Macaca mulatta: one gene and its partner. The main gene of each other region encodes a partner of the protein of the gene in region 2 in a complex. Links are inferred from orthologs where the notes say so. Each region holds a gene or a part of one and is shown on either strand. Other genes may lie near its edges.

The links. The genes of interacting proteins can lie anywhere in the genome.
Region 1: GTF2E2 (region 2) and POLR2G share a complex: the UniProt entries of both Homo sapiens proteins name them as parts of the TBP-based Pol II pre-initiation complex. The link is inferred for Macaca mulatta from reciprocal best matches to the Homo sapiens genes GTF2E2 and POLR2G.

The regions. Positions count from the first base shown.
Region 1 is NC_133419.1:11,297,759-11,302,017, forward strand, and holds the start of POLR2G (DNA-directed RNA polymerase II subunit RPB7), read right to left. Parts: upstream 2,852-4,259; 5' UTR 2,761-2,851; coding exon of another isoform or gene 2,748-2,760; coding exon 2,736-2,747; coding exon of another isoform or gene 2,602-2,735; coding exon 2,492-2,601; intron 1,204-2,491; coding exon 1,044-1,203; intron 1-1,043. UniProt on the Homo sapiens protein: Core component of RNA polymerase II (Pol II), a DNA-dependent RNA polymerase which synthesizes mRNA precursors and many functional non-coding RNAs using the four ribonucleoside triphosphates as substrates.
Region 2 is NC_133413.1:32,393,538-32,397,098, forward strand, and holds part of GTF2E2 (transcription initiation factor IIE subunit beta), read right to left. Parts: intron 1,399-3,561; coding exon 1,291-1,398; intron 1-1,290. UniProt on the Homo sapiens protein: Recruits TFIIH to the initiation complex and stimulates the RNA polymerase II C-terminal domain kinase and DNA-dependent ATPase activities of TFIIH. Both TFIIH and TFIIE are required for promoter clearance by RNA polymerase.

The DNA of each region.
Region 1 (4,259 bases), on a different chromosome or scaffold from region 2:
AAGTGCTGGGATTACAGATGTGAGCCACCATGCCCAGCCTAACCTTTCATTTTAAAGTATTAAAGAGCTTAGGCCTGTTAGTCCAAGATTTGAACACCTGTTGGCCACATGATCTTGGCCAATACACTTAACTTCTTCTAAGCTTCAGCTTCTGTAAAAAGCACCCACTGGCCGGGGGCAGTGGCTCACGCCTACAATCCCAGCACTTTCGGTGGCTGAGGCAGGCAGATCACCTGAGGTCGGGAGTTTGAGACCAGCCTGACCAACATGGAGAAACCTCATCTCTACTAAAAATACAAAAATTAGCTGAGCGTGGTGGCGCATGCCTATAGTCCCAGCTACCTGGGAGGCTGAGGCAGGAGAATCACTTGAACCCAGAGGCGGAGGTTGTAGTGAGCCAAGATTGTGCCACTGCACTCCAGTCTGGCGACAGAGCTAAACTCCATCTTAAAAAAAAAAAAAAAAAAAGGAAAGCACCCACCTTTTAGTCATTGTGAGTCTCTGCACTTCACCTGGCCCACAGTCACTACTCAATCAACACAGGCTTTTATTGTTATGACTATTAATGTTGACTCTTGCCCTCTGAGTTGGGCAGGGAAGATTACCATACAATTTGAAAGTGCAGCACAAGAAGTAAAGTGATGGCCAGGCGTGGTAGCTCACACCTGTAATCCTAGCGCTTTGGGAGGCCGAGGTAGGCAGATTGAGCTCAGGAGTTCGAGATCAGCCTGGGCAACATGGCAAAACCCTATCTCTACTAAAAAAAATACAAAAACTTAGCCGGCCATGGTGGCACCTGCCTTTAGTCCCAACTACTTGGGAGGCCGAGGCAAGAGACTCACTGGAACCCAGAAGGCAGAGGTTTCAGTGAGCCAAGATGGCACCACTGCACTCCAGCCTGGGCGACAGAGCAACACTCCATCTCAAAAAAAAAAAAAAGAAGTAAAGTGACTTAGCTGAAGGCACAGTTATGAAGTGGAGCCAGGACCCAACCCAGATCTACTGAGAGACTACCCCAATGCCTCCCCTACGTATGGTCTCACCTTGTTGACCTGAGTTACAACAGCATCCACGACCTCCCCTTTAAAGGGCCGGAAAACAATGGCCTTGTACTTAACTGGATAAAGGACAAAGCCTCGGCCTGGCTGGATCACACCAGCACCAATATTGTCAATGGTGGTGACAGCAATTACAAAGCCATACCTGCAAGGAGGATGAGAAACAGAAAGACATTGTGTGTCCAAGAGCCTCTAGAGACATCTGCAATAAAAGTCACTGAGCTCTTGGGAGTAGTGTCGGGGAGAGCAAAAGGACAAGTAGATAGCACCTCTGCTCCCAGAGAGCTTAATGACCAAGAGAAGACAGAACACAGATCAGTATGGGCCGGGCGCGGTGGCTCAAGCCTGTAATCCCAGCACTTTGGGAGGCCGAGACGGGCGGATCACGAGGTCAGGAGATCGAGACCATCCTGGCTAACCCGGTGAAACCCCGTCTCTACTAAAAAATACAAAAAACTAGCCAGGCGAGGTGGCGGGCGCCTGTAGTCCCAGCTACTCGGGAGGCTGAGGCAGGAGAATGGCCTGAACCCGGGAGGCGGAGCTTGCGGTGAGCTGAGATCAGGCCACTGCACTCCAGCCTGGGCGACAGAGCGAGACTCCGTCTCATAAAAAAAAAAAAAAAAAAAAGAACACAGATCAGTATGTATAAGACCAAATGCTGTTCTGGTAATTTCACAGTAAATGTACAAGAAGGCTGGAGTCCTTGAGGAAACAGATCTCAATCTTCGGGATGCCTGAGAATCATCTTCTTAAAATGCAGATTCTCAGGTCTGCCTCACAGAGTCTTGATTCTGTAGGGAATAAGGAGGCTCAGGAATCTGCATGTTCCTGCAGGTTTTTCTGATGCTGGAGGCCCAAGTACTCCACTGCCCTGGGCTGGGTCCCAGCTCATTAATATCACAGAAGGCCCTCAGTGCAAAGCCCAGAGATGGTCAAGTCCCAGTCTACTTCCTTCCTCCCCCAAACTTTCGATCCACTTTTTCTGGTCATCCATTCAGAAGATATATAGAGGCCCACGGTGTGTGGTCCCTGGACACAGGGGATAAGAGAAAACCAGCAGAATGACAGAGTGAGAGGAGACACAGGAACAATGACTACACTGTGAGCTCCACAAGAGCTGGCCTCATTCTATCTTGTTCCCATTCTACCTTGTTCTGAGCCCAACACGGGTCCTGGCACACACCAAGTGTTTTTAAAATGTCTGAGGAGTAAATGAATGAATGACCAATCTCAGCTGAGGGAAGGAAGTCTTATTGTCCAGCATTGCAGAGGGCGCCCTGGGAACCCAAAGCAGGAAGCAACTGGCTGCCTGAGAGGGTGAGCGGGGTCCCTAGAGTGGGTGGCAGGACTAATAGGAGTTGCGGATGGTTTGCAGGTATAGCGACCCGTGTGCGCATCGAACGATCTGGCGGCGCGGTGAGCTCGGCACTCACTTCCCTGTGCAGGTCCCCTCCACTTCGGTGAAGAGCTTCTGCTTCACCGTGTTGAGCAAGTTGGGGCCGAAGTAGCGCGGGTGCAGCAGGATTTCGTGCTCTAGGGAGATCTGCGGAGAAAAGAGGGATGGCGACCAGGCCACGCGCTGGGAGCTTATCAGACGACAAGGGGAGCCTCGCGCCGGCGCCTGGCCTTGCTCCTCCTTTCCACCCAGCCCTTGCCGCCACCCTGGGCCCTGCTCACATGGTAGAACATCTTCCCAGAGCATGAAGGCAGGAACAGTCCACACCTCCGACCGCCCCTGGGAATCTACCGGAAACACACTTAGCCGCCGCAACCCCAGTTCCGCGCCTGCTGCGACGTTGAGAGCGGAACTCCACCTCCTCCGCGAGGGCGGAACTCCACCTGCTCCACGGGTCTGATTGGGCCTTGTAGCCGTGGGCGTGAACCACTAAGCCCCGCCCCTCACCACCGCCCCGCCCCCCCACCGGCCATCAAACCACAACTCTCTTTTTTTTGTTTTGAGACGGATCTGGCTCCGTCTCCCAGGCTGGAGTGCAGTGGCGCGATCTCGGCTCACTGCAAGCTCCGCCTCCCGGGTTCGGGCCATTCTCCTGCCTCAGCCTCCCCAGTAGTTGGGACTACAGGCGCCCACCACCGCGCCCGGCTAATTTTTTGTATTTTTAGTAGTGACGGGGTTTCACCGGGTTAGCCAGGCTGGTCTTGATATCCTGACCTTGTGATCCGCCCTCCTCAGCCTCCCAAAGTGCTGGAATTACAGGCGTGAGTCACAGCGCCCGGCCAATTTTGTGTTTTTAGTAGAGATGGGGTTTCTCCATGTTGGTCAGGCTAGTCTCAAACTCCCAACCTTAGGTGATCCACCCACCTCGGCCTCCAAAAGTGCTGGAATTACAGGCGTGAGCCACTGTGCCCGGCCAGCAACTCTCTGAATTGCTTGAACCTGGGAGGCCACTGCACTCCAGCCTGGGCAACAAAAGCGAAACTCCATCACAAAAAATAATAATAAATAATAGCTACCACTTACTGCTTTCTTCCTAAATGCCAGACACTGTGTTAAGCCCTTTATATAATTATCTCCCTTAATTCTCATAATAATCTACAGAAATTGGTGTAGAAATAACAAAAAATTTACATGAGCCTTAGTCGAAAGGCCAGGAAGCTACAGAAAATAATGAAATTTAGGCTGGGCGCAGTGGTTTACGCCTGTAATCCCAGCACTTTGGAAGGCGGAGGCGGGCAGATCATGGGGTCAGGAGATTGAGACCATCCTTGCTAACACGGCGAAACCTCGACTCTACTAAAAATACAAAAAATTAGCCGGTACTCAGGAGGCTGAGGCAGGAAAATCGCTTGAACCCGGGGGGCGGAGGCTGCGGTGAGCTGAGATCGCGCCACTGCACTCCAGCCTGGCAACAGAGCAACACTAAGAAAGAACGAAAGAAAGAGAGAGAGAGAAAGAAAAAATTTAAAAGCTATTGCAATCCCAAAAAACATTTTAAGCCTCGAGAGAGATATGACTGTGAGTCACATATAGTTTACAACTTCTGTTCTCAGATTATAGATTAATTCACTTTCTTTTTTTTGAGAGGGAGTCTCGCTGTGTCACCCAGGCTGGAGTGCAGGAAATCCATGACTATTTCATCCTCTGTTAAAAAAATGTTACATACCCCCGGCACGATGGCTCACGACTGTAATCCCGGCTACTTGGGAGACTGGGGCAGGAGAATTGCTTGAACCCGGGAGGCA
Region 2 (3,561 bases):
TCAGCTTGAGAATGAAACTGAGTAGGAATGCAGGAATTACTGAATATAATTATGTTTCTAGTCAGTTCTGTTGTACAGCTAGTATCAGAAGGAAAGCTCTTCAAAAAGAGCAACCCTATATATTTTCTTCTGCAGCTGCCAGCCTGACCCTGAAAGGAGAGAGAGAAGAAACACAGGAAGAAGAAAAAAGGGAGAATAGAATAGTAAAATGATCAAAGTCATGTTAACTATATGTTGGTAGTCTATGAACTCTCAAGGTTAGCTAAACCAGCAAATTTAAATGTGGATTACCATTGTTTGTACATCACTAATACAATGAGCTACAATTATGCTAATTAATGGTCATGCTACATTATAAAAGTCAAGACCTATATTTTGCGTGGTAAAAAAATAAATGAATTATACGTTAGGAATTTTACATTTGGATTCTAGAATCTCTCTCTGGTCCTAGAAAGTAGTCTTCTTAGTTTTCACTTCGCATTTAAATTCAAAAGCAGTGAACATCTGAATTTTTAAATGCTATTTATTTCCAAATTAGCACGGTCACTGACTGTGCTGGGGTTTCTTCAAATGGTGTGTGTTCATACACAGCATTCACGACTTTTTTCCACATCAAGCCATAAGAGCAGTAATTATGCAACAAAATATCTTCCTATCCCTGCAGTATCTTATGCTTTAAATTTTCTAAAACAAAAACAATTCAATTTACAAGCATACAAATTATAAATCTGGCAATACAAAATAAGCATTAATTAATCTGTAAAAACATAAGTGGAACTGGTACAATGACTTCTTTACAACCTTTACACAGAAGTCTTACCTTTAACATTTTGAAATAGATACATAAAATTAAGTGAAAACCAACAAATCAATCTTACAAATGTGTACATTCAAAAAACAAAGACCCTACAACATTTCTTTTAAGAAAAAGTAAAAAGCATTATCAGATTTCACCATATTAAAACATTCTAGGCAAGGTGCGGTGGCTCACGCCTATAACCCCAGCACTCTGGGAAGTCAAGGTGGGCCGATCACTTGAGGTCAGGAGTTCAACATCAGCCTGGCCAACATGGTGAAACCCCATCGCTACTAAAAACACAAAAATTAGCCTGGCATTGTGGCGCATGCCTGCAATCCCAACTACTCGGTAGGCCAAGTCAGTAGTGAGCTGAGATCACGCCACTGCACTCCAGCCTGAGCAAGACTCTTTTTTTAGGCAAGACTGCCTAAAAAAAAAAAAAAAAATTCTAGTTACAGGAAATCTCTCTTGATAATCAACTAAATTCTCACCTCAGTCATTAGCCATTGTTTCTGCTTGAGTCCAATATCTAAATGTTGTGTTTCATCCAAAATTTCATCTAAGGTTAGAGGATGCGTATCTCCTCGCTGATGCCGTGTCTATCAAGTGAAGAAACTGTTATTAGAAGACAGTTTTAAAATGCTAGATGCATTAAATCATAGTTACGTGTACATAAATCTTCAGGAATGAAAAACATGTATTATTCCAGGTAGTATAATTATAGTGACGAAGAGCCACAGACTATGAAATCAGAACGGAGTTGAAACTCATTGCTCTATAAAATAAAAAGATAAACTGACAAAAAATATATGCAACTCATATCACCAAGAGCTAATTCTTCCTAATATTTCAAGAGCTTCAAAAACCTAACAAATAGGCCAGGCATGGTGGCTCACGGCTGTAATCCCAGCACTTTGTGGGGCTGAGGCAGGTGGGATCACTTCACGTCAGGCGTTCGAGACCAGCCTGACCAACATGGTGAAACCCCATGTCTACTAAAAATAAAAAAATCAGCCGTGCATGGTGGTGCATGCTTGTAATCCCAGCTACTTGGGAGGCTGAGACAGGAGAATCGCTTGAACCTGGGAGAAGGAGGCTGCAGAAAGCTGAGATCTGGGAGACAGAGCAAGATCTCAAAAAAAAAAAAAAAAAAAAAAACAGAAAATGACCCAAAGACAGAAACGTGCAGATTACAAAAATGACCTTAAACATAGGAAAAGATACTCAACTTTCACCAAACAATCCTATTTCTAGAAACTTATCCTACAGAAATACCAGTACCACATAGAAAAATGACTTACGGGCCGGGCGCAGTGGCTCACACCTGTAATCCCAGCACTTTGAGAGGCCAAGGCAGGCGGATCACGATGTCATGAGATCAAGACCGTCCTGGCTAACACAGTGAAACCCCATCTCTACTAAAAATATAAAAAATTAGCCAGGCATGGTGGTGGGTGCCTGTAGTCCCAGCTACTCGGGAAGCTGAGGCAGGAGAATGGCGTGAACTCGGGAGGTGGAGCTTGCAGTGAGCTGAGATCACGCCACTGCACTCCAGCCCGGGTGACAGAGCAAGACTCCAACTCAAATTTAAAAAAAAAAGAAAAAAAAAGAAAAGAAAAGTGACTTATGGTCACTGTAGCATTGTTTATAAAAAGAAAATATTAGAAATAACCCAAGTGTCCATAATCAGAAGATAGATTAACCACAGCACATCCATTCCACTATACTGATGTTCACAAAGTAAATGTAAAATTTCTCTATGTGCTAATTTGAAAAGATGTCCAGGACAAAGTAATAAGTTAAAACACATATGTATCATGCCTATCCAATGAACACACACACACACACACACACACACACACACACACGTAGATACCAAAAGCTAGAGCAGATGCAAAGGAACAGGAAGAGTGTGCAAAATGGCACAGCCACTGTGGAATGACAGTTCAGCAGTTTCTTACAACACTAAATACACTCTTACCATTTGATGAATCTAGCAATCATGATCCTTGGTATTTACCCAAATGAGCCAAAAAATTATGTACATACAAAAATCCACTAAGGATGCTTATTACAGCTTTATCCATAATTGCCAAAAGCTGGAAGCAACCAAGATGTCCTTCAGTAGCTGAGTGGGTAAATAAACTGTGGTATATCCAGACAATGGAATACTATCCAGAGCTAAAACGAAATGAGCTATCAAGCTATGAAAAAAATATGGAGAAACCTTAAATACGTATTACTAAGGGAAAGAAGCCAATCTGAAAAGGCTACATACTGTATGGCTCCAACTACTGACATTCTGGAAAAGACAAAAACCACGGAGACAATAAAAAGTTCAGTGGCTGCAGGCCAGATGCAGTGGCTCACACCTGTAGTCCAGCACTTTGGGAGGCCGACGCGGGAGGATCACAAGGTCAGGAGATTGAGACCATCCTGGCCAACATGGTGAAACCTCATCTCTACTAAAATACAAAAAATTAGCTGGACATGGTGGCACGTGCCTGTAGTCTCAGCTACTCAGGAGACTGACGCAGGGGAACCACTTAAACCCGGGAGGCGGAGGTTGCAGTGAGCCAAGATCAAGCCACTGCATTCCAGCCTGGCAACAGAGCAAGACTCTGTCTCAAAAATAAATAAATAAATAAATAAAAATTTAAAAATTAAAAAAAGTTTAGTGGCTGCCAAGGGTTGCAGGGGAGAGAAGGATGAACAAGCAGAGCCCTGAGAACTATAGTGGTGGACATAGGCCATTACACATT